4 linked regions of the Pelodiscus sinensis genome follow. The protein of the gene in region 2 interacts with the protein of the main gene of each other region in a biochemical or structural test. Links are inferred from orthologs where the notes say so. Each region holds a gene or a part of one and is shown on either strand. Other genes may lie near its edges.

Evidence for each region.
Region 1: of the proteins of CCNE1 (region 2) and PRKN, one has a biochemical effect on the other in vitro, tested with the Homo sapiens proteins (2 studies listed by BioGRID). The link is inferred for Pelodiscus sinensis from reciprocal best matches to the Homo sapiens genes CCNE1 and PRKN.
Region 3: the proteins of CCNE1 (region 2) and CDC25A form a complex in vitro, tested with the Homo sapiens proteins (2 studies listed by BioGRID). The link is inferred for Pelodiscus sinensis from reciprocal best matches to the Homo sapiens genes CCNE1 and CDC25A.
Region 4: of the proteins of CCNE1 (region 2) and CDKN1B, one has a biochemical effect on the other in vitro, tested with the Homo sapiens proteins (4 studies listed by BioGRID, with this or other methods). The link is inferred for Pelodiscus sinensis from reciprocal best matches to the Homo sapiens genes CCNE1 and CDKN1B.

What each region holds. Positions count from the first base shown.
Region 1 is NC_134713.1:115,480,157-115,487,438, reverse strand, and holds the start of PRKN (E3 ubiquitin-protein ligase parkin), read left to right. Parts: upstream 1-4,268; 5' UTR 4,269-4,394; coding exon 4,395-4,401; intron 4,402-7,282. Other genes in the region: PACRG (parkin coregulated gene protein), read right to left, coding at 3,678-3,824. UniProt on the Homo sapiens protein: Functions within a multiprotein E3 ubiquitin ligase complex, catalyzing the covalent attachment of ubiquitin moieties onto substrate proteins. Substrates include SYT11 and VDAC1.
Region 2 is NC_134722.1:25,696,702-25,703,656, forward strand, and holds the start of CCNE1 (G1/S-specific cyclin-E1), read right to left. Parts: upstream 3,019-6,955; 5' UTR 3,013-3,018; coding exon 2,705-3,012; intron 2,412-2,704; coding exon 2,361-2,411; intron 2,233-2,360; coding exon 2,142-2,232; intron 1,845-2,141; coding exon 1,776-1,844; intron 1-1,775. Other genes in the region: uncharacterized protein F13E9.13, mitochondrial, read left to right, coding at 3,484-3,556, 5,220-5,302. UniProt on the Homo sapiens protein: Essential for the control of the cell cycle at the G1/S (start) transition.
Region 3 is NC_134712.1:257,276,548-257,284,415, forward strand, and holds the start of CDC25A (M-phase inducer phosphatase 1), read right to left. Parts: upstream 3,021-7,868; 5' UTR 2,858-3,020; coding exon 2,688-2,857; intron 82-2,687; coding exon 1-81. UniProt on the Homo sapiens protein: Tyrosine protein phosphatase which functions as a dosage-dependent inducer of mitotic progression. Directly dephosphorylates CDK1 and stimulates its kinase activity. Also dephosphorylates CDK2 in complex with cyclin-E, in vitro.
Region 4 is NC_134711.1:128,801,565-128,809,303, reverse strand, and holds the start of CDKN1B (cyclin-dependent kinase inhibitor 1B), read right to left. Parts: upstream 3,004-7,739; 5' UTR 2,456-3,003; coding exon 1,981-2,455; intron 1,410-1,980; coding exon 1,288-1,409; 3' UTR 1,279-1,287; intron 1-1,278. UniProt on the Homo sapiens protein: Important regulator of cell cycle progression. Inhibits the kinase activity of CDK2 bound to cyclin A, but has little inhibitory activity on CDK2 bound to SPDYA. Involved in G1 arrest. Potent inhibitor of cyclin E- and cyclin A-CDK2 complexes.

The sequences.
Region 1 (7,282 bases), on a different chromosome or scaffold from region 2:
TGGAAAAGATATAACAGGAGAATATGAGGGAGCCTCAGATTAGAAGATCCCATAGCCCATTGGCTAGAGCACATTCCATGGAGCAATGAAATCCCTGTTCAAATTATTTCTTCCATTCTAGTAGTGAAGGCACTTAAACATGGATCTCCACATCCCAGGTGAGTGCTCCAACCACTGGGCTAAAAGTTACACGGCGAGCACCACCTTCTCTGGCTGTTTTGTATGGCACTACACAGACATCTCACTTATTTCTGCAAAAAATAGTGTCAACATTTAAACTTCCTGACTTCAGGAGATGGGCTCCCATTTGTGGATGGCCAAATGAAGCTAGATGCCTTTGTGCAGCCTGCACTTAGGGTGTCTATCTCCATGAGAGGAAAGGGGCTTAGTATACAACTTTTTAGTTAGTATCTGCCTATAGCTAGCTAGGCAGTTCCCTGCCTAGCAAATTAACTTTTGTGTATCACATTCTTAGGCTCCTACCTCTTCCCATTAATTGTATAGGGAACCTATTTACTAGGGGTGGGCAATAATTTTTGATGGGGGGCCACTCCAAGATTCTGGAAAGTGGTCAAAGGCTGCACTCTTCCATGATATTAATGGAGGAGGTGCGGGGTCTGGGATGGAAGTTGGGTGCAGAAGGGAGATTGGGGTAAGGGATTGGAGAGAATGTGGGATCTAGGAGGGAGCTTGGGTGAAGGAAACAGTTGTGATCTGGGGCACTGGACTGTGGTGGAAGGGTTCGGATTGTGACATAGGACAGGAAGAGGTTGTGAACTGGGGTGTAAGGATTTGGGTTTTGATCCAGGCAGGGGACTGGGGTGCTGGGGTTTGGGATGTGACCTAGGGGAGAAGGGGTTTGTTACCTGGGGTAGAGGGCTGTGGTGCAGGTTCTGGGAGGGAGTATGGGTGCAGGAGAGGGGCAGACAGTTCGGGTTATATGGGGTAGGGGAGGCAGGAGTGGTGGGCACAAGGTTGGGGGAGGGAGGGGCTGGGGTGCCAGAAACAGGTTCTGGCTGGGAGACTTACTTGGGTGACTCTGGGCCAGCAGCCCAGCACATTTCTGATGCAGCTTCCCGTGTGTGTGTGTGTGTGTGTGTGTGTGTGTGTGTGAGAATAATTACAAGCCATAGGGGAGGGAGGTGTAGTTCTTTGTGTGCTGCCTGTTTTTCAAACAGGCAGCTTTCACTGGCCAGAAACAGCTCACAGTGGTGACAGAGAAATGTCCCGACAGCTGCTTTTCTGAGTGGAGTGTGGGTGGGGCGAGGCAATTAGGGAGCCTGCCTGGGGCTCCCTGCTGCGTCCGCAGGCCAGATCCCGTGGCTCAGTAGGCTGAATCTGGCCCGTGAGCCATATTTTATGCAGCCCTGTTCTACACTAACCTCAGGGTTTGTGGATCACAGTGGTGTTCCTGAATTATCTGAGCACATAAAACATTAGGTGATGCAATATTCAGCATTGCAATACCAAAGTCTTTTTGTGGATCTGACCAAAGACAGTCAGAACTTTATGTAACACTCCAGCAGAGGTATAAATAGAGAAAATTGTCTCATGAACTCATGTCTGTGCATTTGCAGCCAATAATTATCCAACAATTTGAAGGATGGAAATGCCACTAAACTTATTCCCAGAAATCAAGAAGAGAAAATAGGACTCACAAAAGATCTATGACCTGTCCAAATAAAAGGACAGAAACTGTCTAATGTTCATTTTACGGAGTATGTGGGATGAATGTAATTGCAGATTATCAAAGTAAGAGGCTGATTTAAGTGAAAATCCAGAACAAATTTGAAACAAGCATCAAAGACCAGCTTGCTTTTGTGAAAATGTAAGAATTAGGTTTTGGACATGAGGGCCTGTCACTCACTAGCATATATTGTAGATATGAGAGCTATTAGAAAAACACAATGTTATGATCTAGGAAATACATACTGATGGCTTCTAAATCGAGGACTCATGAACCTCAGGGTTAGAGATAAATGTTCTATGCCATTTGAAAGAGAGGATTCCCATATTTCAGCTGTGGTAGAGCATCAATTCTAGTTCTAAGCGCTTCAGAATGGTGATGATATAGTTCTTTGTGTTTCCACGGAGCCCAAATCCTGACTGGAGACTTTGTGAATTAAAAGCAGTAATAAACAAAGAAACAAAACAAACAGTTCTCTATATACTGATCACTAATTTCAGATTACGGTTCAAGTTTGTTGACTGTTCATATGCTTGCTTTATGTTATGTCCCTGTTTCTTACCTTTCATGTTTTGTGTCTTTAAGGCTTGATTGAGGCAAAGTTTTATGCATAAAATAATTATGTTCTATGAATAATCTTATTGAAGTTAATTTTATTATGCACCTGCATAAAGTTAAGCATCTGGGCGTGAGTGATTTGGCTGCTAACATTAAATAATAAACATTGTGTTTTTATTATTACGTGATAATAGGTCAATGCTGGGATGGGTTTTGCACTTAATTATTGTTGGCTTTTAGCCCAATTGGAACCTATAAAAGGGGGAAATGTTATTTCTCAAATACATTTTACAGATTACATTATATTTAGATAGACTGTTCGTTTCTTTTCCTTCTAAATGTTGACATATGTAATGAATTCCAGAGCCAGGTCAGATCAGTTTCTAGGGATTCTTTTCATGCATTTTGTAACTATTATCAGGAACATATATGCAGTTAAAGAGAGAGTGAGGGATAAAGCAAGAGACTGTTGCCAACACCTTGAATTGTACCCAAAAGCAAACAAAAAGCCAATACAGAGATTTGAGCACAGATGTTGTGTGCCCATAACAGCACTTTCCACTCAGTAACTGAGCAGCTGCATTCTGCATTACCACAAGCTTTGGGGTTTATTTATTACATTTAATGGAAGCAATCAATTACAACAATTATTGTCGGAAAGGTTCACTATAAAGACAGGATGGGATATCACAATTATTACTCATGGCAGAAGTGTTAGTGAAAGTAAAGATTGATGGATCAACCCCTATTTGACCGCCTCATGTTAAAAGGCTATCCACAAAAAAAGAATGTTTATTTTCAAGACAGTATTTACTAATACTGTGTGAAAGATATTTCATGATTATTGTTGGACTTTTTTTAAATGCTATATTTTTCATGTTTTCAGGATTAAATAATGACATTCAACTCTTTTATCTTACCACCTTGTATAGGTTTTCCTTTAATTAAAAATATGTGCTTATAATCATTTTTTCAGCTGAGAATTTAAGGACTGTCTCCTTTGCAAAGAGAAACTTTCCCCAGATAATGTGATATGTATGTCATAATTTCACCATATTTGACACAGTGCCATGGTATGAAATGGTAATATTTTAATAATGTACAGCATAATTATGTTTGGACATAACTCCATGATAGGTGGGCCTTTAAATCAATATATAATTGGATTATGCAATATATAACAATATGGTGACACAAAACTGACACATTTTAACAAGAGGCATGGCAATAGCCTGAGACACCGCCCTTACTTCAAGCTGACATTTCCTCAAGGCCTGAATGCTATTTGCATAACCCCAGACAAAATCATACCAACCCTACATACTTTCTGGCAGTCACAGTCCCCCTTCCACCCACCCACCGCCTCTTAACATGCTTCACAGGCAGATGAGACTAAATGAATGTAAAGCCTCTTTATTGGCAGCAGACGTACCACAGTGTTTTTCATCATGGCTTTAACCGTGAATCCATCGGTGACCTGCTGCTTGGCTCTCCTCGCCTGGCCTAGTGGCTGCTGCTGTTGTTGGGGTCTCTCTGCAGGCAGCTTGGGGGGGCTCGAATCCTCCTTCTCTGCCACCATCTCCCCAGGCACCTCTGTGGAAAACAGGAATCACAATACAGGCTAAAAGAATACATTGGAAAATAAAATCAACCTCACGCTCGGCTGCCCCTTCCTGGCCCCCTGCCCCTGCTGCCTTTTCTCACCCCCTGCTATCGCCTAGGTAGGGTCGGGGGGGCTGGGCCACTGACACGCTTTGTTGCTAACACCGACACGCTTCTAGGGACGCCTCACGGTTGCTAAGCAACGTGTCAACAACCTGCCCGGTTTCTGTTTGCGGTCACGTGAGGAAGGTGGGCGGGGCGAGAGGGGAAGGGGAGAGGGGGAAAGGAAATCGCGCCGATCACGCACCCCAGCCCTGGCGACAGTAAGAAAGCGCGGGCGCACAGGAGAACTACACTACCCAGAGGGCTACTGCGCTCAGCGGGGCACGCGCCAAGTTTCCGCATGCGCAGTACGGCCCAGCCCGTCCCACCGGCCCGCCCCGCAGTTTGCGTCTTCAGTCCCGTGCTGAAGGCGAGAATTTGAGCTGCGAGCGCGGACGGGACGGGGGCGTGCGCGCGCCCTCCTCCCTCCCCCCCCATCGTGGCCATGATAGGTGAGTGAGTGAGACCCGGATGCAGCCAGCGGTTCCTCCGCCCCCCACACAATCTATTCGCGAGCCAGTCCCACCGAGCCTGTGGCGCAGCAGCCTGGGCCCGGGACCCCCCCCCCCCCCCCCCCCCCCGGCTCGTGGCCACCTGCTCCACCCGCCTGTTGCCAGCACTGGCCTGGCCCCGCGGCTACCGACATAGGAAATTACTTGCGCTCCCCGCGCGCAACATGTTCACTCCCTGTGCAACCCCCCGCCCCAATACTCCCTTCCCCCCCGCGCACACAAACAGGGCTGCCAATTTTGGTATCTCATCATGGCGTAATATTTAATTAAAGATGAACCCTTTAATTCCTAGAGATTGCAGGACAACCGTGCAGGAATGGCAACACGCACACTGTAGAGTACGCACCCTTCCGTGCAACACCCCGTAGTGTATGCATTCCCCAACATAATGCAGCCACTCTGTAGGTTCTCACACCATGCACACGTACATCTATGCAGCCAGGGTACCCCGCACACACGCACTATAGGCACAATACATATGCATGCACTTAGTTTGTGACTCGAGATATTGCTAGTCTTGATCTCTTATTTAGCCAATATCAACATAATGGTGCTTTACGGCAAAGACATACTAGCACTGGTGCACCCAAGGGGAAAAAAAATTGACCGTTGACCAGCTTGTCCCCCTCTCTCCTAACACCTGCCTGCCACAGAAGGCTGTTTTTGCAGTGTGGGGGTGCTCATAGTGGGGGTGGGGGGAGGGAGGAGAACAGGGATATGGCATGTTTGGAGGAGGTGGTGGGTGAAGTCTGGGGGAGCAGAGGATGAAGAGTGGAGGTTGACCCCTTCTCCCCTGGTGCCTAATATGCTTCACAGGTAAGTGAAAGTATAAGTGACTGGACTCTCCACTCCTTTGCAGAGTACTACACTTATGCAAAGCAAGTGTGAAACCCAATGGAAAGGGATTGAAAGTGTTTTACATCAGCTTTGCACTGGCATATGTCCTCATAAAAAGAGTGTGATATTGATGACTTTTTTTCTTTTGACCTTCCAGGAAATATTTGTATCTTTTAATCAAGTGTATCCCTTTTGTTCTTTCACCATGTGGTCTGCTTATAAATCTAACTGTATGCAGTGTTGTATCTGTATTAAGTTCCAGGATATTGGAGAGACAGTATGGGTGAGGTAATATCTTTTATTGAAGCTTTGTGTCAGCTCATAAGCTTGTCTATCTCACCAACAGAAATTTGACTAATAAATTACCTTGCCCATTTTGTCTCTATAAATCTTGATGGCAGCTAAGTCGTGGTTCATCTTGATCTTTCCATTGCCTTCATGCTGGCTGAGAGTAGTTGTCTCTTGCAGTCCTGCCCTGCCATTGTTATCTCTTCACACAGCAGGAGTGGAGTTGAGGAATCAACTTACATTCGGGCTTCACAGATAGTGGTGGGAGGTAAGAGGGCACTGGGTGAAATGACCAGAGTTACCTCAAAGTTGACAACATGTATTGTGCAGATTACAACACGTGACCTTGTAATCCAACTAGCCAAAATTTCCCTCTGGTATTGGAAAGAAGAGGTAGTTAATCCCCAATATCCCTGTTCCCTCATTGTGGACCCCACAAATCACAAAGGCTACCACATGGTCTCAAAAACTGTAAACTTTTCCTTTTACATACTCCTCCTTTTTCACTTTAATTTTTATTTTGTTAATTACAGATGAAGAACATAACATTGAGGTCCTAGATAAAGTTGTTTGTGCTTGAAGGATTTCTTCCTATCCCCCGATTTTAAATACCTTTTTTCTGCCTCTCTCATTGGGTGTTTGTCTCCTATTTGAGATCTAATCAAAATTAAATATGTTCAATTTTATAGTTGATGTACTGATGAAACATTGATCCTCTAAAAGTTTTGTAACTGAATTTCTTGGGAAATTGCTGCACATTCCCTATTATTTTTGTAGCGAGAAGTTATTTTTCCTTTCTTGTTAATGTATGGTTTCTGGAATGTTAGTGTGATGTTCTCTTTAAACCATCTAAAAGCAAAAGAAAGTTGTGTAACTTTATGACGGTGTGATTTTTTTAATTCTATGTGAATATTATATGCAGTGTCTACTGCAATTTGTGCCTAGTTGCATATATCTGTTCCTTTTTTTCTAATGCAGTAGAGAGCATTTATAAGAAAACTTGATTTAATGAAAGAAGTGTTTTCTGACTCAAATATTTATATATCTTGATGAATTGTACAGAGTTCAGATCAGAGTACTTGCTTACAGAGCTGCAGTTAGTGTTCTTTTTAAAATTTTCTTTAATTTTTTAGCAAGTCAATATAAGACAGTTTTAAAAGGCATATGTGACTTAAAGTTTTGAAGGAATGAAAGGCTTGAGTGTCATATGCTTCTGATTGTGTGGCATGAAGAATTATAGAGCACGAACTGAACCCTAATCTTCCTGTTAGGATTAAATCTGCACCAGTCTTCAATTTTATTTGCATGTGGCTAATGCAACATACCTACTGACCCGAATTTAGATAGGCTATAACCTATTAAGACAGAAAATCTTAATTTAAACTGATCAGCTTTATATGGCTCATTTATAAATTGATCAAGAAAGTCTCAAAATAATTGTCAGATGCTAAATATATATATGTGTGTATGTAAAACATCGTTTTTTCAAACCTGACAAACACAGGAATCATGTTCTAACAGTATAGTGTTCTTGTGGAAAATTTTCTTTTGAATAGAAATTACTACAGATCAGCAATTTGATCTATCTGGTTGGTCCCTGCACTCATAAGGAGTACCACTGATGTCAGTGATATTTTGTATAGGCATATGGATGTGACCCAATGGGTCAGATTGTAAATATATAGGACCAGGCACA
Region 2 (6,955 bases):
GGCCTAAAAGCCGCTTATTGCCCACTCCTGGATTAGATTTATTCAGTAATAAGGATGTCAAGAGGCAGGTAATTGACTAATTTGTATCGACTACACAGTTAATTCCTAAGAAAAGGTGCGCTGTCCCAGCTCACGCCAGTCCAGGAGCTACCCCTGCTGTGGCTCTGCATTTTACAAGAAGAAGGTGCTGGGCATGCAGGCAGCCCAGCATCTCCTACATTTAAACTGCAGAGCCGCAGCAGAGGTAGGTCCCAGACCAGCAAAAGCCTGGACAGAGCTGGGACCGCTGCAGCTCAGCAATTTAAATGTAGTAAGAGCTGCCCAGCTCTTACTACATTTAAAATGCTGAGTTGCAGTGGTCCCAGACTAGCAGGACTGAGCTGCGTTTGCTTGGTCCCAGCTTGCACCAGGTCCAGCAGCACACCTGTGGGGGATCCTAGTGGGGAGCGGCCTCCCCTACCCGCCTTTTTGCAGCAGGCTCGGCTACCTCCAACCTCCCACGCTGCTGCCTCTGACAGGTGGCACCGCAGAAACAGTGCTGGGGAACCAGCTTTTAAGCTGGCTCTCCCCCAGCACTGGCTACTGTCCCCCTGCCCTTTCTGCCTCTGATAGAGGGAGCAAGGTGGGGGAAAAGCAATTAGCTGAGTACTTGACTCAACTATCCGAGAAGCTTAGCCTTATTGGGTAGTCGAATACTCAACTACTCGCTTACATCCCTATTCAGTAATAGGGTTACTTATGCATAAACAGGGTACTATAGTCCCCATGCAAGACTACAATAACTTAAATATCATTCGATATGTGCATTATTTAGCTCAAGTCTCAACAAGGAAGAGCCTATATGTATATTTTATTTTTCATGCCTCAACCACATTTTATCTGCACATACGTTTGAAGATATACAGGGAGCGCATCCTCACAAACTCAGTACATATCTCATATTGTGTATGAAAGTGTGGGGAAGTAACTGATCGTACACCCAGATTTGTGCAACAAAGGAAGAATGGGAGAATGGAACAAACAAATGAAGTTTAGAACAATCGCTATTTCAAAATCAAAACTAAGTTATCTTAATATTGTCACAGGGAAATAGAGAAAGCTGGCACTGCCTGCTAAGAACAATGTTTCTTCTCCCCATGTCCAGCCCTCCTATGCCATTCAGTGTGGTCTCTCTGAAATCTAGTGCCTTTATAGGGACTACTATGACTTACCTGTGGGCCCAGTAATGCCACTAAAACTTACATCCACTGTAAATTTCCAAATCCTAGTTTTGATTTTTGGCACTCAGACAACAATCAATGTCACAGTAACAAATAATTAATTGATGGTCTAGATGAAGCATACAGATGTCCTCTTTTTATATATATGTTTAAAGTAGAGACAGTTGCAAAAATACAAACTGTCAATTATACTGAAATGGATAGGTTCTAGGCTTTAGCTCTCTAATGAAGAAAATGATGTTCTGTGACGTCATCTATCCATGAAAAATTAAGGCCTTAGACCATAAAGGCCATGAAAACACAGGATATTTGGTCATACTACCACAAGAATTCAAGCAGATCTTATTTGTTTTACGACAGCATTAAGGATCCCATGTCATCTTGTAAATTGAGGGGTTTCTCTTAGTTTCCCTGGCCAAAAGTCTCCCCTCCTCTAATACCATTCAGTATGCTAGAAGTGAGGTATGCACAGAGCTGGTGAAATGCCACAAGTTCCAAGAAAACGCTATAAATTACAAAGATCAGTAACTATAAATCCCTAGCCAAGTCAGTTACCTGGTTTTCATATTGCTTTCTCTTGTTCATTTCCATTTTAACAATTTCTTCATCAGGATCCTGTAGGAACTACAATGGGGAAAAAAGAAAAAAGAGCCATGTGCTAACAAGAATACAGACTCCAGGCCAAACTCTACTCTGAGTCACACCAATGTAAACCCAGTTGTTATCCCAGGCAGATATAGGTTGCATGACAGAGCACAAAACTTTAGCCAGTTACAGCAGTCAGAATGCCACATGGCCATTCACAATCCAGCCAGGGCACAAGAGGCCACGGTCCAAATATTTCAGCAGCCAGAGAGTCCAGATGGACACGGAATGACAGAGCAGCACTTAGAGGATCAAAGTGAGCCATTTTGTACTTACAGTCGCCACATCAGCTTTTCTCTTTCGGGCTCGCATGGCAAGGTCGGCAGCACCCTCACCCTTGGGGGGAGCCTTCTCCTCCACGTAGTCACTGCCAAGAAACAGAGATACAGGGACATAAACCCCTCGAGGAAGTCTCCTCTGGGATCTGCCTAATGGAGACCTCGGCCTACTTCACTTTCCACCCCCACACGCCCTGCAGGGAGCTAGGAAACTCACCTTTCCCTGCGCATGGTGCCTGGATGGGACTGGGAGAGGCTGGTTCCAACCCTAGGAGAAGGGAAAGGCAGAGGGTTAGGGGGTGGGGGCAGGTCACCGCCTCACAAAGGCGAGAGCGGCAACAGCTGCAGCGCCCCAGCCCCCACAAAGAGCGCCGGACGCGCGGGCGGCAAGGATGGGGGGGTCCTCATCGCCGGGCGGGGGCACCTGAGGGGAGCCCCTCGGGGGCGGATGTGGGTGCATTGGGGGGCATCGGGTCCATCCATCCCATCCCCCCCCCACTGGGGCCGAAGGGGGGCCCCGGGCACAGGCACCCGATTCCCTCCCCACCGCGGCCGCCTTACCCCGGGGAGAGGCTGCCGGGCCGCACGAGCCCTGCGCGGGAGCTGCCCGGCGCTGCAGGCGGGGCCGGGCGGGCGGGGAGCAAGGGCGCGGGCGGGCTCCGCTGGGCGCCTCCTGCCTCACAGCGCGGCCGCTCCTGTCCCTGCGCAGAGAGCGGCCCCGGCCGAGCGGGACATTTAAACGAGAGGGCGCGGGGCCGCCTCCCTGCCCGGCCCGCACACGTGGCCCCGCGCGGGGCGCCGCGGGGACCCGGCCGGGGCGGGGTCTGCGCGGGGAGGCGGCGAGGCGCAGGGGGCCGGGCCGGGGGCATGGGGCGAGGCGCGGGGACCCGGCCGCGCGGCGACCCGGCCAGGCGGGCAGCCGGCTCGGGCGGGGCCAGCGGGCGCAGGGGAGGAGCTGGCGGCCCGAGGCGGAAGCGGGAGGAAGCAGCGTGGCTGCCCCGGCATGTAAACAAGGCGCCCAGGCCGGGCCAGGCCGAGGGGGTCGCACGGCGGGGCTGCTCCGAGAGGCCCGGCCCAGGTAACGGGGAGCGGGCTGAGGACGCTGCCTGCGTTGGGAGGGGGAGAGCCCGGGGGGAAGCTGAGTGGGGCTGAGCTTCCTAGCGCCTGCCCGTGTGGGCTGCACCCGCCTTGGGTCGGTGTAACCAGGCTTTCCGCCTTGGGAAGCGCCGGATCCTTAAATCGCTCCTCTTCCCTTCCCATGTCTCCCTGGACTGCCCCTCTCAATAATGAGCCTCCCGGCGCTGACTGAATCCCCACCCCCGTCTGTTTTTCCATAGACTATGGAGTTTCTGAAGCTCTTCGGGAGACTCAAATCCGTTGTCATTGGGATGGTGCATGTGGGGGCATTACCAGGTAAAAGAAGAGTTTTTATATTGACTGTTGCTGGGAAGATCATGTCTCCAGTGAGTTTGATTTAAGGAAAAACCTCCCTGACCCATGCTGCTATTTCTCAAGGTCTAGAAAGACGCAGAATAGAAGTGGGGGTGGAGCTAGTATATTGACAGTCTTTCACCCTGTTCGCCATGCTGCCTCCTGCTGCCTCCATGTGACTGTAATCTAGCAAAGTAGAAATGCTCTCTGCAACATAGCAGGTGCTGTGATGTGTAACAGATACAGCCTTTGCGTAGGAGTGTGCTCCCTGGACTTTACTTAAGTTGCACAAGTTTGCTGGCTGGATTTGTTGTATCCAGAACGTTAGAGTAGGTGACTTTTTATGAAATCTCCATGCTGCCCTGCAGGGGGGGGGGATAGAGAATTTGTGGAAGCCAAAAGATCAGGGATTTTTGTCAGGATACAGTGACCTATTTGGAAGGCTGGTAGCTGAGATGAGCATGCATGTTTTTCAGTGCAATATTTGTCCTTCACAATGGAGCATCCGTAAAATTACTGTCTGGGTAAAATTACTGTCTGGGTAGTGTGACTAGTCAGTGTCAGGCAAATTTTTCAGTGTGATCTGTCCAGAGTGATCTTATGGCTGTCTCAGATTAAAAGTGAGCACTGGGTTCAATCTTTTTAGACTAACTTCTAAATTTGGTTGCTCAATTTGTGACACCTTCCACCTGAACTTCAAAGGTATTGAATGCCTTTTCTGTTATAGCAGCAAGGAGTCCTGTGGCACCTTATGGACTAACAGAAGTGTTGAAGCATAAGCTTTCGTGGGCAAAGACCCACTTCGTTAGATGCATGTACTGACGAACATGTTTTCTGTTACAGTTGCATTTATAGCATTTCTGAAAATAAAGCCTGAAGTTACGCATCAGTATATCAAGGAGACCAAAAACTTTCAAGTGTTTCATCTTAATTTTGGGGAGAACAGACAGAAAAACAGTAGCCTTCACTGCTTTTTGTCTGTTACTCGTCCGTGCATTATTTTGCAACAGTTTACAACTATAGTTGTATCTTTGTGTCTTGGCTACAGTCCTGTGTACTGGGAAACTTCCTTTTAGCACTAATGTAGTCCTTACATTTTCTCCTGTGCATCATTCCTGTTTTGTGTGGCTTTGAGAAAATTGGCATGCTAGACTTAACCTCCAGCCTTCACGAATCATTGGAGGCCTACCAAGCATCCATTTGTGTGACTTTGGTCTTCTCTGTATTAATTTCCCATCACCTATGCAGGCTAGTTGCCTGAGACACTGCCACAGATTGAAATACAGTGCATTGTCACCAATATAGAATGAGGTGTAATCAGAGCTGGTTGCGAATAGGTGAGAATGACAAGTTAGGTGTTGGTCTAGTTCAGCGTAAGGTTACGTTTGATATATCTTGAAGTGTGAATGCTTTTAAATCATTTTTAGGAACTCAGTGGTCAAAGCATGTCATTCACATTCTACTAGAGACAAAATACCATTGAAATACGAGACATGATGGAGCAGACTACTACTCACATTATTTACTTTGCCATTTTGTGCCTACTTTGGCACTTCTATCAGTGCTTGCAGTAATCTAAATTTAATTCTAGCTTTGTTTTGATTTCTACTTCTATCACGGCATATAAAAACATTGTTCTTTGCAGGGACACCACAGAGCAGTTTGCCACTGACCCAGATCACTGATAAAGCCTGTTATGAGTCTGAGATTTATAAGGATGCTGGAGTTGTAAGTTTCATTGTTCATTCTTCTATTCCAATTTTTGTATAAAAATATTGCTGTATCCGAGTACAACAAATCTTGGTTCTGTGGAGTTAATATTTCGAAGATCACATTTATATTAGAGTTCACATCAAACCTGTATCCAGACTGCTGTGCAGATTGTTAGAAAATGCTTGAAATTCAATCCTATATCCCTGTTTTGAAAATGGCCTCAATTTCTATAATAGTTTAAACCAAAATCATGGATCTTGTTATTCCTGAGCTTTGGAAGACTCTGGACCAGCACTTTGCAGCTCAGGCTGATCGCTTAAGCATATTTACAGCCAATTCCTAAAACAGGGGCGGGGAACCTAAGGCCTGGGGATCAGATGCAGACCCTGTCTTGCCTGGATCGCCTTCCGAGATTTGCCTCCCCCTTCCCTCCTCCCTCCCCCGAGATTTGCCTCCCCCTTCCCTCCTCCCTCCCCTCAGCCCTCTCACCATCTACTAGTCTGGTGTGTGAGGAGAATGAGGCGAATGTGTTTCTCCTTCTCAGTCTGGGGCCACATCAGTGAGGTGGTTTTTTTCCCCCTTCTCATTTGTGGCTCTGCCTGTTTTTCTGTGGGTCTGCGGCCTCTCCGACCTAAAAAAGGTTCCACACCGCTGTCCGAGAAGAATCAGACCAGTTAAAGAAGTTACATTGTCATCTCTTATTTTCTGTTTTTACAGTGCCAGCAGGATAGCAGAAATAGGCACTTCTATTCACTTACCAATTTAGGGCAAGACAATCTTTGTTCTGGCACATGGCTCAAGGGACTATAAAGTACTTTCACAGGCCTTCTACACCACAGGGCACTGCTCAGCTACATGAATTCCTGGTCCATAAATATCTTAGGCACTATAATAATACAAATAGTAATTAATATGATGAAGAAAAGTTGGTTATTGAAAAAAATCTAGTACACTCTGGTCTTTGGTAAAATTCCTCATCCAGTCTGACAAAGTACTATATTTGTTTGCCCGACATATTTTTTTTCTCTCTCTCTCTCTCTCTCTCTCTCTCTCTCTCTCTCTCTCTCTCTCTCTCTCTCTATATATATATATATATATATATATATATATATATATATATATATATATATATATATATATTAAAAAAACTTCCTGCAGGATGACAGAATGACATCATCACGTCAGCATCAATAGGTTGGGGGGAGAGGCAAGCAAGAGTGAGAGAGATTTCCACCAGTGACGCTGCAATGCCACCCCTGGCTCAGTTCAGGATAGCCCATTACAGTGAGTGTTGGCTGGAGTGCATGGCACCCTGCCGCTGGGGGAGCTTGGAATGCTGCATAGAGCTGGGGAAAGCCTGCCCAGCCATAGCCGACGCTGTCAGCGGGCGCAGCATGGAAAAGCCCTGGGCGTTGGGCACCGGCCGCACCACAAAGGGCTCTTTGTGCGCCGCTCACCTTCCTCACAGGCAAAGCCAAAGTAGAGGGACCCCCATGGACAGCATGGTCTGCAGCAGTGGGACGCAGTGCGTCCCGCTCACCCTGCTGGTGACTTCCTCACTCCTATCCGTCCACCCAGTCCACCACGCTCCAGCTCAGCCCCCTCCTATTCTCCCCACAGTAGGGAGCCCGTGCTGGTGCTCGAGCCTCACCCCCCTCCAAAGCCAAG
Region 3 (7,868 bases), on a different chromosome or scaffold from region 2:
TCAGTAGATTCCGACGAGTCTGTTCTTTGTAGATTGCTACTGTTCCTCATTTCCAGCATTAGCAGAGAGTTTTCATGCTGACTATAAAGATTAAAAACAGAGTTATTTTACTCAATGTTTCAGCCAGAAAGTGTCACAATAGGTTTAAAATGTAGAAACACTGTAGATGAGCTCCATTCGGAACAGAATTGATCAGTTTAAGTAGTGGACAATGCAAAAACGTGCCAGTTTAACAGTCCTGCAAATTGAAATTTTGAGTACCCATAATGAACACAGCACACATAGCTGTCTCCGGACAAGGTCATGGGGACTCATGCATAAGGTATGTGGCAGCAACTAGGAATAATATTGAGATCATATGTGGCACCATGTGGGCTGTGTTGAAAGGGTGCACTAAACAGACCAGTACCAGGGAGCCATGAGGTTGCAGGAATGAGCTCAGGGGAACTATATATAGTGGAAGTAAAGGTTATATAGGTGGAGTAACGGGCTGGAGAAAAACAACAAAGGGGCCAAGGTGGTTACATGGGTGAGGTTATGGGGGGCCATATGTTGTAGAGCTGGACAGACCAGGATTCACAGGAGCTGCAGAGATTAGGAATGCAGGGGGAAGAGTCATGAGAGCCATCCGAAGGAGAAGTGCAGGCCCAAGAAGTCTGGAAGGCTGCAGGACTGGAGCCCAGAGAGCCAGATACAGAGGAAGGGGACAGGCGCCAAGGAACTAGGGAGCCTGGTACCAGAAAGGTTATAGGGGTGGAGTGATGGGGGCCCCACGGAGGCAATTACAAGGAGGCTGCGGGGTGAAGTCTGGGCGAGCCGGCGTGAAGCCGCTGTAGGGGCGAGGTCCTGGGGGCTATGGAAGCTGAGGGGGCGAGGCCACAGGCACAAGTGGGTTTTTGGGGGGGCCGCATGGCTGGGGATGCGTTAGGGCTGCGGGGGGGGCCCTGCAGGCGGGATGAGGTTAGTGGGGGGGGGGCCCTGCAGGCGGGATGAGGTTAGTGGGGGGGGGGGCCCCTGCAGGCGGGATGAGGTTAGTGGGGGGGGGGGGCCCCTGCAGGCGGGATGAGGTTAGTGGGGGGGGGGGGGCCCTGCAGGCGGGATGAGGTTAGTGCGGGGGGGGGGGGGGCCCTGCAGGCGGGATGAGGTTAGTGCGGGGGGGGGGGGGCCCTGCAGGCGGGATGAGGTTAGTGGGGGGGGGGGCCCCTGCAGGCGGGATGAGGTTAGTGGGGGGGGGGGGGCCCTGCAGGCGGGATGAGGTTAGTGGGGGGGGGAGGGCCCTGCAGGCGGGATGAGGTTAGTGGGGGGGGGCGCGCCCTGCAGGCGGGATGAGGTTAGTGGGGGGGGCGCGCCCTGCAGGCGGGATGAGGTTAGTGGGGGGGGGGGGGGCGCCCTGCAGGCGGGATGAGGTTAGTGGGGGGGGGGCGCCCTGCAGGCGGGATGAGGTTAGTGGGGGGGGGGGGCGCCCTGCAGGCGGGATGAGGTTAGTGGGGGGGGGCGCCCTGCAGGCGGGATGAGGTTAGTGGGGGGGGGGGGGCGCCCTGCAGGCGGGATGAGGTTAGTGGGGGGGGGGCGCCCTGCAGGCGGGATGAGGTTAGTGGGGGGGGGGGGCGCCCTGCAGGCGGGATGAGGTTAGTGGGGGGGGGGGGGCCCTGCAGGCGGGATGAGGTTAGTGGGGGGGGGGGGGCCCTGCAGGCGGGATGAGGTTAGTGGGGGGGCGCCCTGCAGGCGGGATGAGGTTAGTGGGGGGGGGTGGCCCTGCAGGCGGGATGAGGTTAGTGGGGGGGCGCCCTGCAGGCGGGATGAGGTTAGTGGGGGGGCGCCCTGCAGGCGGGATGAGGTTAGTGGGGGGGGGCCCCTGCAGGCGGGATGAGGTTAGTGGGGGGGGGGCCCTGCAGGCGGGATGAGGTTAGTGGGGGGGGGGGCGCCCTGCAGGCGGGATGAGGTTAGTGGGGGGGGGGCGCCCTGCAGGCGGGATGAGGTTAGTGGGGGGGGGGCGCCCTGCAGGCGGGATGAGGTTAGTGGGGGGGGGGGGCCCTGCAGGCGGGATGAGGTTAGTGGGGGGGGGTGGCCCTGCAGGCGGGATGAGGTTAGTGGGGGGGCGCCCTGCAGGCGGGATGAGGTTAGTGGGGGGGGGCGCCCTGCAGGCGGGATGAGGTTAGGGGGGGGGGGCCCCTGCAGGCGGGATGAGGTTAGTGGGGGGGGGGGCCCTGCAGGCGGGATGAGGTTAGTGGGGGGGGGGGGCGCCCTGCAGGCGGGATGAGGTTAGTGGGGGGGGGCGCCCTGCAGGCGGGATGAGGTTAGTGGGGGGGGGGGGGGCCCTGCAGGCGGGATGAGGTTAGTGGGGGGGGGGGGCCCTGCAGGCGGGATGAGGTTAGTGGGGGGGGGGGGCCCTGCAGGCGGGATGAGGTTAGTGGGGGGGGGGGGCCCTGCAGGCGGGATGAGGTTAGTGGGGGGGGGGGCCCCTGCAGGCGGGATGAGGTTAGTGGGGGGGGCAGGTTCCAGGCTGGGGGGGGGCGCTCTGGGAGCCACACGTGGGGAGGGAGAAAACGCCCCTGCGGGATTCCGGCAGCTGACGGGGGGGGGGGGGGGGGCGAAGAGCGGGTGTCACGTGGGGCAGTGTGGGGGAGGGGGGAAGTGCGGAGACGGGGGGGGGGATGTGGGGGCTGCAGGGGGCGGGCCGGTCCCACCTGTAGCCGAGCCCTTGCAGCTGCTTCATGGTGCGGCTGAGGCCGGAGACCGGGGAGAGCTCGGCGGGGAACAGGGACTTGGCCACGCCGGGCCCGGCGGCCGGCAGCTGCGGCAGGAGGAGGCGGCGGCGGTGGGGGCCCGGCGGGCCGGGGCCGGGGCCGGGATCCATGCGGCGGGCGGGCGGCTCCTGCTGTCGGCGGCGACCCCCGCGCCCGGGCCCTCCCGTCAGCCGCACAGCGCGCGCGCGCGAGCTCCCCGCGGACACCCGAAGCTGGCGCCAAACGCGGGCCCGCCAATCAGAAGCCGTCTGGCCGCGCCCCGCCCACCTCTCTGAGGGACCGCCACTCTGGGGCGGGGAGGGGGTGAAAAAAGAGCAGCGGCGCCTCGCGACCAATCACAAACCGGACGCTTTTCCTTTCCCGCCCCCTCCCCTCGTGGAATGACCAAGACATTGGCCTTCGTCTTTCCTCCGCCCACAGAGCGGGGCTGGCCAATAGAACAGAAGGGACGGCAAGCGGGAAAGCCAATTGAAACCCGCCAAAGATTCCTTCCTCCCGCCCCTGCATTGTGTGACAGGAGACCTGACCAGTAGAATTGCCGATGAGCCCGTTGGGCGCCGGCGGGTTTTTTCGTTGACACTCACAGCCACCGCCCTCCTAGGCGCGCCAGTGGCACTACAAATCCCAGCATGCAACGCTCCAGCTGGATCCCTGGATCCTTCGGCTCAATGGGGAGCGTTGCATGCTGGGATGTGTAGTCTCTAGTAACCTCACCTCAGCAGCTCAGGATCAGGAGCCATCGCTGAGGGCAACACTGGGAGGGGGTGGGGATGCATGAGGAGGCCATGGGTGTAATCACATGCCATTTGGGCAGCACAAGCATGGCTGGTAACTGGTAGCTCAGCTCCTAGGACCTCTCTGTCTAGAGACCCTGCTCCGGGTGGGAAAGAACCAGCTTGACTCTCGGATCCCGGGGGGACGTCGGCGGCTGGCTCCGCAGGTCCTTCGCCTCGTCACCTCAGCATCCGCAGATCCTTCACCTCGTCACCTCAGCATCCGCAGATCCTCATCACCTCAGCATCCGCAGATCCTTCGCCTCATCACCTCAGCATCCGCAGATCCTCGTCACCTCAGCATCCGCAGATCCTTCGCCTCATCACCTCAGCATCCGCAGATCCTCGTCACCTCAGCATCCGCAGGTCCTTCGCCTCGTCACCTCAGCATCCGCAGATCCTCATCACCTCAGCATCCGCAGATCCTTTGCCTTGTCACCTCAGCATCCGCAGATCCTTCACCTCGTCACCTCAGCATCCGCAGATCCTCGTCACCTCAGCATCCGCAGATCCTTTGCCTTGTCACCTCAGCATCCGCAGATCCTCATCACCTCAGCATCCGCAGATCCTTGTCACCTCAGCATCCGCAGATCCTTCGCCTCATCCCCTCAGCATCCGCAGATCCTCATCACCTCAGCATCCGCAGATCCTTGTCACCTCTGCATCCGCAGATCCTTGTCACCTCTGCATCCGCAGATCCTTGTCACCTCAGCATCCACAGATCCTTCGCCTTGTCACCTCAGCATCCGCAGATCCTCATCACCTCAGCATCCGCAGATCCTTGTCACCTCTGCATTCGCAGATCCTTCGCCTCATCCCCTCAGCATCCGCAGATCCTCATCACCTCAGCATCCGCAGATCCTTGTCACCTCAGCATCCGCAGATCCTCATCACCTCAGCATCCGCAGATCCTCATCACCTCAGCATCCGTGGCACGGAAATCACCGAGAAACAGGCGTGGGAACCCCCCCCCCCCCGAGGACGTTTTTATGGGGCAACGTTTCCGCCTGGTTTTAAGAGCACCGTTCCCAAATCCTGCGGTTTTAGCCCAAGTCCAGTGGCACCGGAATAGTTTTTATAGCAGGAGTGCCGAAGCCACAAGCCACTTAAAGCCACACCGTGGGGCAGTTCCCACAAGTGTCACAACCTTCCAAAGCTTCAGAAGGGTATCCGAGTTAGTCTGTAACAGGAAAAACTTAAACAAACAACAATGGTCTAGTAGCACTTTAAAGACTAACGAAACCTTTGAAGTTTTTCTTCAAAGCCTGGGCTACTGGAGGCATGTGATCAAGTGAGACTAAGAATAATAATGCCTAGCTTTTAGCTCCACTCTCATGAAACAACCAAATGGATTGTTAGACCTCCTGATTACAGAGAAAAGATTCAAAATGTGACTGAAGTGCTTAACTAAGGGCAAAAACAGTGGAATAAAAAGAGCCCACATTTTACTTTACTTACTCTTCTGGGTTTTGCACATTTTTAACCATTTGAGGATGACAATACTGTAATAGGGTGTTGAGAATGGCGCCCCTCAATCAGAGAAGCACATTGGGGGCTTTCGGTGTGGTGATGTGCAATGCAAACCACCTTTGGCTTCCCCTCCACCCATTCTAGATGGTGACTCCTGGAACGAAAGCCAGAGATTAACTGCATGTAGGATACATGACCACGCCGAACCCAAAAGGGAGCAATATGTCTGGAATCTCCTTTGCTGTTTTGCCTGCGGGAGGAACTGGTGCTTCCCAACTCTACCCAGCCAGTGATGAGCTACAGGAACACACAATGTAAGGAGAGCTTCTGATAGCAGAAGAATCTCACTGTGAACATGTGCATCCATGTGGGTGAGAGCTCCCCCTGTACAAGTTGTGTGCGAGCAGCTTCAACACATTGTCTTAGCTCAGGACCCATCAATAAACGAACTGTGGCCAGAGACCGTATCAGTTTGAAAAGTATCAAAACTCAACCTGCACATGTGAATCCACATAGGAGAGAGGCCCTGATGGTGTGCCCAGTGCCAGAAATGCTTTAGCGGCAGTCCTACCTCATTGTGCACGAGACCTTGCTTCATGTACCAGCAGCATCACAAGCTCTCTAGTCTGATCATGCACCAAGGAATGTATAGCAGGAAGCAGCTCTAAAAGTGTATCATATGGAAGAAGAACCTCACCATCCTGTCCATCTTGACCATGCACCAGAGGGATCAAATGGGAGAGAGGCCCTTACAGGGCCACGCAGTGCCTGAGAGGAGCTTCAATTGCCAATCCAAGCTGTCTGTACACCGAAGGCTCATGGAGGAGCTGGCCAGGACATCTGCAGGCCTAGGAAATCTCCCTTGGGAACAGAGTTAAGGTTGGGGAATAGGTCTGTTGATGGGGTCAGCCCTAGGCTCCCACAGGCTCTGCAACCAGCTTCAGTGCTTAGGGAGCCCCCCAGGAAGTACTTGTACAATACCCTTCCCAATGTCAGGAGCCCACCTAGGATGTTGTATTGATGATGACAAGGCATGTATTGTTAATGTAGCACTGTGACAAGGTGCACTGGTATTGGCTAGCTGATCCCTAGCCGTTGGGAGGTGGGGGGGCAGTGCAGCACAATTTGTCAGCTCCCATTGGTCAAAGTGGCCATACTTGACTCAATGGGCATCAACCCTGAAACATACCAGCAATGACTTTGGCGGGAGTGATAGCACCCCAAGAACTAGGCCAAGGTCTGTGGCCCAAAAGCTCTGGTGCTGGCTGGAGCCAGAGAAGCTGAGGGGACCCAAGTGGCACAGGTAGCGATGATGGTGCAGTTCATTCAGATTCTCTCCACCATAGGAAAAGAATGAATGAGGCAACATTATTCAACCTCACTTACAGGAGCAGTCTCCTTGATAGAGGACTACTTGGAGGCTGAGGGGCTGGAGGCACAAGGTCAAAGGACCAAGAACCCTGGGAATCCAAGCCAATAGCTAGAATGAGTTACCGATCTTCACGAGCCAGGGAAAATGATCTATCAACTTGGCCTGTTGAAGGCAGAGAGAATGCTGATTAGATGGCAACCCGTCAACCCATTCCCAGTGGGAATGACCCTGGGAAAATATTATGAGTGTGGATGGGAAAGACATTTCCATCTCGACTGCTTGTTCATGGACTACAGTTACAGCCAAGCACTGCCTGTGGGTTCCAGGGCAAGAAGAAAAGGCCCCATCAAGCTACTGGTAACCCTGCAAGGAACCCCAATGACAGTCCCATTTGACTCAGGCTGTTCCAGATGCTGATGTGAGCCAATGTTATAGTCTCCCACTCTTGGATGGGACCCTGTCCTCGTGCAATGTGTCCCTGGGTGTACAATCTTTCCCCACTGCGTGAGTACGTTTGTTGGATGGACATAAGGAGGAGGTGTACCTGGTGGCTGTGGGAAGTGAAGCAACACAGCAGGGAGCTGGTGGGGTGGGGTGGGGTAGGCTAGGGCCTTTCCGCAAGTGACGTGGCTGTGAACCTGGAGAATGGAGCAGGCTGGAGCCAGGTCCCTCTGCTTGTTGCCGGGAGTATGGGGCAGGCCTGACCCCTGCTGCCAGTGCCAGGTCAAATTGCTCAGGGAAGGAGGATTGAGGGTGGAATGGGGGTAGAGGCTGAGCAGGGGTGGGAAGAGGCGGGACAGCAGTTTAGGGGAAGGGATGGGGGGGCCCTAGAGCTCCCAGCTGCTTCAGGGGGTCGGTCCCACACAGCTCCCAGCCAGTGGTGGGGGACACTAAACCTTTCAGGGCTCAGGCCCAGTCCCATTTTGTCACAGTTACTTTTAGGGTATATCTAGACTGCATCCTTCTGTCGGCAGAGGGATGCAGATTAGGCAGGTCGACATTGCAAATGAGGCAGGGATTTAAATATCCCATGCCTAATTTGCATAAAAATGGCCACTGCGTTTTGCCAAACGCAGCACTTTGTCGGCAAAAAGCGGCAGTCAAGAGAGGGATCTGTCAAGAAAGAAAGCCTTTTTCGACAGATCCTGTAAACCTCCTTGCAAAACTGTAGCCTTGCCTATAGTGGGAAAAGTGCAGATTTGAAAGTGTAGCCATATCTATGCTAGGGTGGCTTTAGCTGACACAGCTGTGTCAGTTACAAATGACACCTAATCGGACTGACATAAGAGTGCTAGCATAGTGAAGCTAAGAAGTTTGTGGAGAAAACCTGACATGGGCACTTAACGGGGCAGTAGAGAACATCCAGCAGACAGCACTGCATTATAGCAATACACAAATGAGATGATCCAGCCCAAGGCTATGGGTAACCAGTACAGATGAACTTACTGCAATGAACAATACAAGTGGGTCATTTCTGAGCATTCAGATAGTTTTCTTTTAATGACG
Region 4 (7,739 bases), on a different chromosome or scaffold from region 2:
GTGCCAAAAGAAATGTGATAGCTTTGCTCTAGAGGACATCATAACATACATGTCACTATTTAAAAACTAAATCGATCACTGCATCCTTTTCCCTAATTGTTGGGGATGGCGCAATTTTAAATGGGGTGTGGGGTAAAAGAGGGACATATTCCTTTAAAAAAAACAAAGGAAACTCACCCTACCCCATCCTTAAAGAGGGCTGATGCGCCACACACAGAGGGTTTTTTTTAAATCCAGCAGGTGAGCTGAGACCAAGTGAACATGTTTCCAGAGTTTCCCACATTTCACTTTTTAAAGATAGCATAAATGCTGTGTTATTAAGCTGTTTTGCAACAAGTCTGATAGCTGACCCAGATGGCATATTTAAGATCAATACAAGATTCTTTTGCAACATATCTTCTACTTTCTGAACTGTAACGTATTTTGGGTTGCAATAGTCAAAATAAACAAATCTCTTCTACTCCATCTATTTGTCTGCAGACACCATCAGTTTCCTCTTCAAATACCCAAATAAACAGACAGTAGTAGTACAATTTGCATACACATGCATGCTGACGTGTTCATGGATTGTTTACCCCAGCAGGGCTAATTTGTTTTAACTTCTGCTTTTATAGCTTAATCTGCTCTGCACAATGGCAAATCATGTTTGGAAACCTTTTCCTTTAACCCCCACTACTTTGAAACCATTGGTAAATGTACCAATCAACAGCCCTTCCTTGCATTAAAAAAAAACAAAAACAAAAAAATCCCCCAAAAACCACCTCTCATTAAGCCAGTATACTGACTGTAAACAACAATTTGTATGAGTCTACAAAAAATAACAAAAAGAACAGTTTTGATATAAAGAAAATGTTCAGCTTTGTGATTTATTGCCCTTATTTATTTGTATGTCTCACAATGAGTATATGAAAAGACAATGGGAAAAGCCATCAATACTTATCACTCACTAGTTCTACCAGCCTAGTACAGATATAATTGGTAAGAGGATTCTCTTTATTGAAGTGACCAAAATCTTAAACCAGTGGAAAGGGATTGTTTATTAATGACACATAGTAAAAATTCACACATTTACTCCCCATCTCTCCCCCTCCCCAAAGTTTAGCATAGTCTTTCTAAAGTATATTAACAAAAATGTATTTAATCTGTAGCCTTCTATTTTAAAGCCCTTTTGAACATTTCGGTGTATTAAAAATACTAGTCTACAAAGTTTCTCCATATTCCTTTAACTCTTTGCTTAGTTACGCTGCTTTAAAAAAACACCACTGGATGGGTACTCACCTAAACAGTTTACGTTTGACGTCTTCTTGGGCTGGATTTCTTGGGGGTTTGCTCCACTGAACTGGCACTGGGGGGTTCTTCTGAAACCTCTTCTTCTGTTGTGTTGGCTCTTTTAGGCTGAGGAGAGGAATCTAGGAAGGGAAAATGGGAAGAAACAAAAATAAAAGTGAAAACTTAATATTCAATACATTTGCTGCCAGATGTTTTCTCTGCATGGGGGTGGGTGAAGACCCTGAATATTTATGACCCTCAATGTGTTAACTATCGATTGCATGAAAGAGATGGGGAGAACTGGTTCTCTGATTAAATAAAAACAAGGCTTTTTTGTCGAAAATCTACTTCTACACTTTGTTTCATATTTTCTATGAAACTTGTACTATTTCCTCACGTTAGAAGGATATAGACTTCCCACGATTACTACGGAGGGGAAGAAGGGGGGAGAGGAAGGTGTAAGGTTGGTTGCAGATGGGCCATGGGCTCCAGAAGTCAATTTAATTTAAGATTCCCGAGAATATAGGCAGTGCTGGATTTTTGATCTAAGAGAAACAATAAATCTTAAAAGTGTCACCAGCAGAACAGTTTACCGTAGGCAGGACAAGAGTGTGATGTACATGCGAAAGAGGTATACAGCGTTAATGCTTACAAGGATACAGTACAGACAGTAGAAAAAAAAAAGGCTTTTGTTTTCTACGAGTACTTTACCATCCGTCGCTGGTCGTTTTCTTTGCCCAGTGCACTGCTCTGCTAAGTCCGTGTGATTTTCAGATACATCAGTTTTTTGATCTACAAAGTGAGCGTCCTCTGAGTTCCCCTGAAAACCAACTACAATCACCGTTGGGCAGTTTCCATTTACATCCAAACTCTCGTGAGGGGCAGATCTGCAAGCGACTTTGGGGGGTCGGGGGGGCCTGAAGTAGAACTCCGGCGAGCTCCCTTTCTCCACCGCTTGCCACTCGAACCTGCCAGCCAGGGGCATGTGATTCGTGAAATCAAAATTCCATTTCCTTTGACATGCCTCTTCCATGTCCTGGCGATGTTTCATTAAGTCTCTGCTTAACTCTTCACGATGCACCGGCCCAAAGAGGTTCCTACAAGCGGAAGGCTTTGGATACTCCGACTGCCGGGCTTCCATCCGCTCCAGGGTCGGGCTCCCATTAGAAATACGTACGTTTGACATCTCCCCCCACCCTCTTTCTTCTGGCGGTGGCTGGCTGTCGCTAAGTTGAAATCCTTCCTTCCGTGCCTTTGTTTTTTACACTCGAGCTCGGCTCCACGAGAAGAGACAACACCAAACAATTGCATAAGACGCAGGCCGGGGAGAGGGGAGGGGGGAAGAGAACCCCGATAGTCACCAGAAAGTCTCGGGCAGATCAAGTGTACGCTGGGGAGAGCGAAGGATGGGGCAAGCCAAGCCCCTATGCGAGCCCACTTCCAGGCTGATGCGAAGCCTGCGGATCCCCCGATCCAAGCTGCGCCAGCAAACCTCGCCGATGTCAGAGCTGCCGCGTCGTTGGGGGAGGGAGGGGAGAAGCGGGCGAACACGGAGAAGACGACGGCAAAAACAAGAAAAGACGAGCCCTTTTCTCAGTTGCCCAATATGGCGATTGAAGGGAGGCTGACGAAGAAGAAAATGATTGACATTACAAGTCTATTTAAACAGCGGAGGCGATCCATTGGTTAATGCGCCGGGCGCCGCCCCATCTCTGCGCCTCACCTCTTCCAAACAGCCAGCTCTAAAGGTGGCCCGGCCTCCTTTGCCAGCGCTCGGCTTTCATCGTCTTCATCTAAAAAGGGGGTGGGGGAGGAGAGGGAGGGAAAACCGTTTTCCCACTTTCCTGTCGCGGGCTGTTGCTGGAAGCGGGCGCGCTCCCTGGCCCTGCCAAGTTCCCATCTCCCCGGCAGCTCAGCGCGGAGCGGCTCTGCAGCGGGGCCTGGCCCGAGCCATGGGCCGGGGCGGGGGGGAGGAGAGGAAAGGGGGGAAGGCTCAGTTGTGACATTTTGATTTCTTTCCGTCTCGCAACAAGCGCTTCGCATCCAGACCCGCTGGCACCCGCGCCCAGCCCTCGCCCCGGAGACGGGAAGGTCAGGAGTTCACGGCGAGGCGCGGGGGCGGGAAGGGGATCTTACATTCAAACTCCGGCGGGGAGCCGGGCGCCTCCAGACCACAGCATCCCTCGCCAGCCCGAGGAGGAGCGCGGGGGGGATGCGTCAGGAGGTAGCCAGCGCGGACCTCCTCCTACCACGAGAGAAAGAATGAGGTGAAACAAGGGCTCCCACGTCCGCCGTGAATGGGAGGGTCGCCGTAAGTTAGCCTAGTTCCTAGCGTGTCTTTGGCCACCAGGGTTAGGTGCTCCAGGGATCACACCTGCTACTGCAGGTTCGAGTGCCACTGTGAGTCTTGAACGCTTTCTGGTCCCCTCACAGCCCTGGCCAGCTCCTTCATGAGAAGGGGAGGTGCCGTTGGCAGGGTAGGGCGTTCTGCTAGGGGTCTAGACCACGTCCACATCTGACCTGCAAGAACATACCCTCCAGCTATCACTAGCCCTTTGCTGAAGGAACAAGGATTTGCTCCTTTACTTTTGTAATGGGAGCAGAAAGTTGTCAGTTTTGGGAGCTGACAGCGCTTTGCACCCATCCCTCTCACTGTGTTCTCCCCTGTCCTGCACAACTCCATATAATTTTACTTTTATGTGCCTGTGCACCACCACTCTTGCTGTTTTGGACAAACTGATTTAAGCAGCTAGCCTGTAAAGCAGACTGGATGGAGAGGAGTCAACTGTCCTTGAAGAATCTGGGTTTGTTCACACATGGCTGTCTGGGCCCAAACTTTTTAATGGGCTGCTCAAGCTTTCACTATGAACACTCCTTAAGGCAATGATGTAATACAGGGGTGTCCAAACTTTTTTCAACGAGGGCCAGATTTGATGAAGTGAACATGCGTAAGGGCCGACCATTTTGCCTGACATTCTTTGAACCATTAAAATTAAATGCAAATTAACTATTTTATGCAAAGTTTATTGCAAACGGCATACTTTTCATTTCATCACATGGATGACAAACCTAAACAGGTGTTAAATCACTCTGCCTTTCATATCTGAAGGCCAGATGAAAAAAAAAATCCAGGAAGCTGAAATATATGTCAGGAACATTGTAAAGTACATTACATATTATTGGTAATAAAGGTTGTCTGTCAACTTTTAAGTTCAAAAAATATGAACAGGAACATAACACCAAGTATACACATTGTGTCCAAATATATTTATAACTGATTTAGACCAACTGACATTAACTGAGATTTTACAATGTATTCATCTCAATACATATGGATTCGTTGGGGGCCATAAAAGATAGATATTGCCAAATTACCTGGGGGGCCGTATTAAACTGGAACACGGGCCGCAATTGGCCCACGGGCCGGACTTTGGACATGCCTGATGTAATACAAACAATACTAAGCCACTTCACACCACAAGGAAGGCTGGGGGAAAGAGGAGGAAAAATAAATCTGGAAAACTCTGTTTTCCCCCTTTGCCCCATTCAATCACAATGATCATTGCCATATCTCAGGGCTAGCAGAGGCTCATGTGACTTACCCAAAGCCTGAGAACAAATTCATTTCAGAGTACAGAGTTCTTAATCTTAGGCTTGCGCTACACTATACAGTTAGGTCAGGCATGTCCAAAGTCCGGCCCGCGGGCCAATTGCGGCCCGTGTTCCGGTTTAATACGGCCCCAAAGGTAATTTGGCAATATCTATCTTTTATGGCCCCCAACAAATCCATATGTATTGAGATGAATACATTGTAAAATCTCAGTTAATGTCAGTTGGTCTAAATCAGTTATAAATATATATTTGGACACAACATGTATACTTGGTGTTATGTTCCTGTTCATATTTTTTGAACTTAAAAGTTGACAGACAACCTTTATTACCAATAATATGTAATGTACTTTACAATGTTCCTGACATATATTTCAGCTTCCTGGATTTTTTTTTTTTTTCATCTGGCCTTCAGATATGAAAGGCAGAGTGATTTAACACCTGTTTAGATTTGTCATCCATGTGACGAAATGAAAAGTATGCCGTTTGCAATAAACTTTGCATAAAATAGTTAATTTGCATTTAATTTTACTGGTTCAAAGAATGTCAGGCAAAATGGTCAGCCCTCACGCATGTTCACTTCATCAAATCTGGCCCTCTTTGAAAAAAGTTTGGACACCCCTGAGTTAGGTCAATGTAAGCTGTCTTGCATTGACTTTCCTGTGAAAGTGACTTCACTTAAATTTAGCTCCTGCCAACATAAAAGCCTCTCTGTGTTGACATAGCCCTTGTCTTCATTACCACAGGCCGTCGACCTAAGTTACGCACCTTCGATTATGTAAATAAAGTAGGTGAAGTCAACACAATTAGGTCTGCTTACCGCAGTATCTTCACCGCAGTAAGTCAACAGCTGACACTTTCCTGCCAACTTCACTTACTCTTGTTTTGGTGGAGTACCCAGTCCATAAGAGAGCGTTTGGCAGTTGATTTATCGAATCTATACTAGACACAGTAAATCGACCCCCACTGGATTGATCACTATCTGTCAATCCAGCCTGTAATGAAGACATGGCCTTAGAGCATGATTACATTTAGAAGATTACAGCAGCAAAGCTGTACAGATAAAACTGTGCCAATCAATGTAAGCTTGCTCATGTAGCCATGTTATGCCAATGGGAGAAAAATCTCTCATTGACTTAATAAAACCAGCTCAACAAACATAGCTTATGGCATTTGGGGTACATGTACACAGCACCCTTAACTCAAAATAAATTACACAGTTTGTGCTATGCTTATTTTGAGGTTATTTCAAAATAAAGCCCTATTTTGACAAATCCCTTAATCCTCTTGAAATGAGGGCTACAGGGATGCCGGAATAGTGTGTCCGTTATTTATTTCAAAATAACGGGCACGTTTAAAGATGCGGAATTGCTATTTCGGGATACTTCCAGTATCCCAAAATAGTCACGCTCTCTAAACGTAGCCTGAGAGAGCATCTCCTACTGACATAGTGCTGTACACACAAGTGTTTATTCAGGCAAAACTTATTTCCCCAGGGAGTGCGGTTATTTTTAATCATCCTGAGTGAGAAAAGATTTGCTAACAGAAGTGCTAGTGTAGACATGGCCTATATAAAACTACTTCTCTCTGTGGAGTAGAGTTACAATTGGGCTACAGCTACACTGCAAGGCTTCTTGCACAAAAACCCGTGGAGAGTCCACACCTCAAATGCACTTTTGCGCAAGGAAATCAAAAGTAAAATGGCAGAACCGAAGGCTTTTTCCACTGTAGGTAAACCTCCTTTTATGAGGCATAAACTCCCTTTTGCGCAAGAGTTCTTGCACAAAAAGGCAAGCATGGATGCTCCGCAGGGGTTTCTTGTGCAATAAACCTCTATGGGTTCTGTGAATGGCCACCAGAGCTTTCTTGCACGAGAGTGTCCATGCAGCGTGGATGCTCTCTTGTGCAAAAGCACATCACTTTTGTGATGTGCTTTGAGGTGTGGACGTGCTCTTGCACTAGAAGTTTTTGCACAAAAACTCTTGCACAAAAGGCTTCTTGCGCAAGAAGCATGTAGTGTAGATGTAGCCTTGACGTATTTAGGCCAACACAGCATTCACATGGACATTTACTGGCTTTCAGGAGTTGTCCCACAGTGCCCAACACTGACAATACAATTGATACAAGTACTCCTGGTGAGGACACACACCAGCAACACAGGGAGTCAAGTGTTTGCACACGCACACGCACACACACACACACACACACTCATTTAATAACTGTGATAGCACTATGCTGATGTTAGTTAAGTGAACATAATATTGTAGTGTAGACATAGCCTTAGTTTTCTATCCTTTGCATGGACCATTATGCCTGATGATGGGTCTTAATATTGCCAGCCCCAATCATGCATCAAATAAAAAATCAGTAAAAAAACAAACAAATCCAAAAGATAATAAAACAAAAAGAAAAATTTTCACCATGAAGTTATCTTTAAAAACACGAGATTTATGTGAACTAATAAAACTGGATCGTTTTATTTGCCTTATGTTCTGGTTTTGGTTTTAGTTTTTATTTTGTATTTTCCTGCTTTTTCTGCTACCACAATTCTAAAAACTTAGTTTTAAAAATAAAATTAAAGCTGGCATTCTCATGACTCCTGGAGCTTGCCTGGATACATTATACATGGATGATTATCAGTTGTATGGTCAACTAGGAATTCAGCATTCAATCAGCGTCCTATCTATGTCCTTGTCTATACTAGAAAAGACAAGAAGTATTTTACACTCGGTTTCACATGATAGGACATTTCAAGAAGTATGGGATAAACATGATTTGGTGCATTCAGCAGTTCTCTGGAGAAAATCTGCTAATGACTTGTAGTTATCATTGTATTTTGGCAAGACGTAACTCAATTCTCT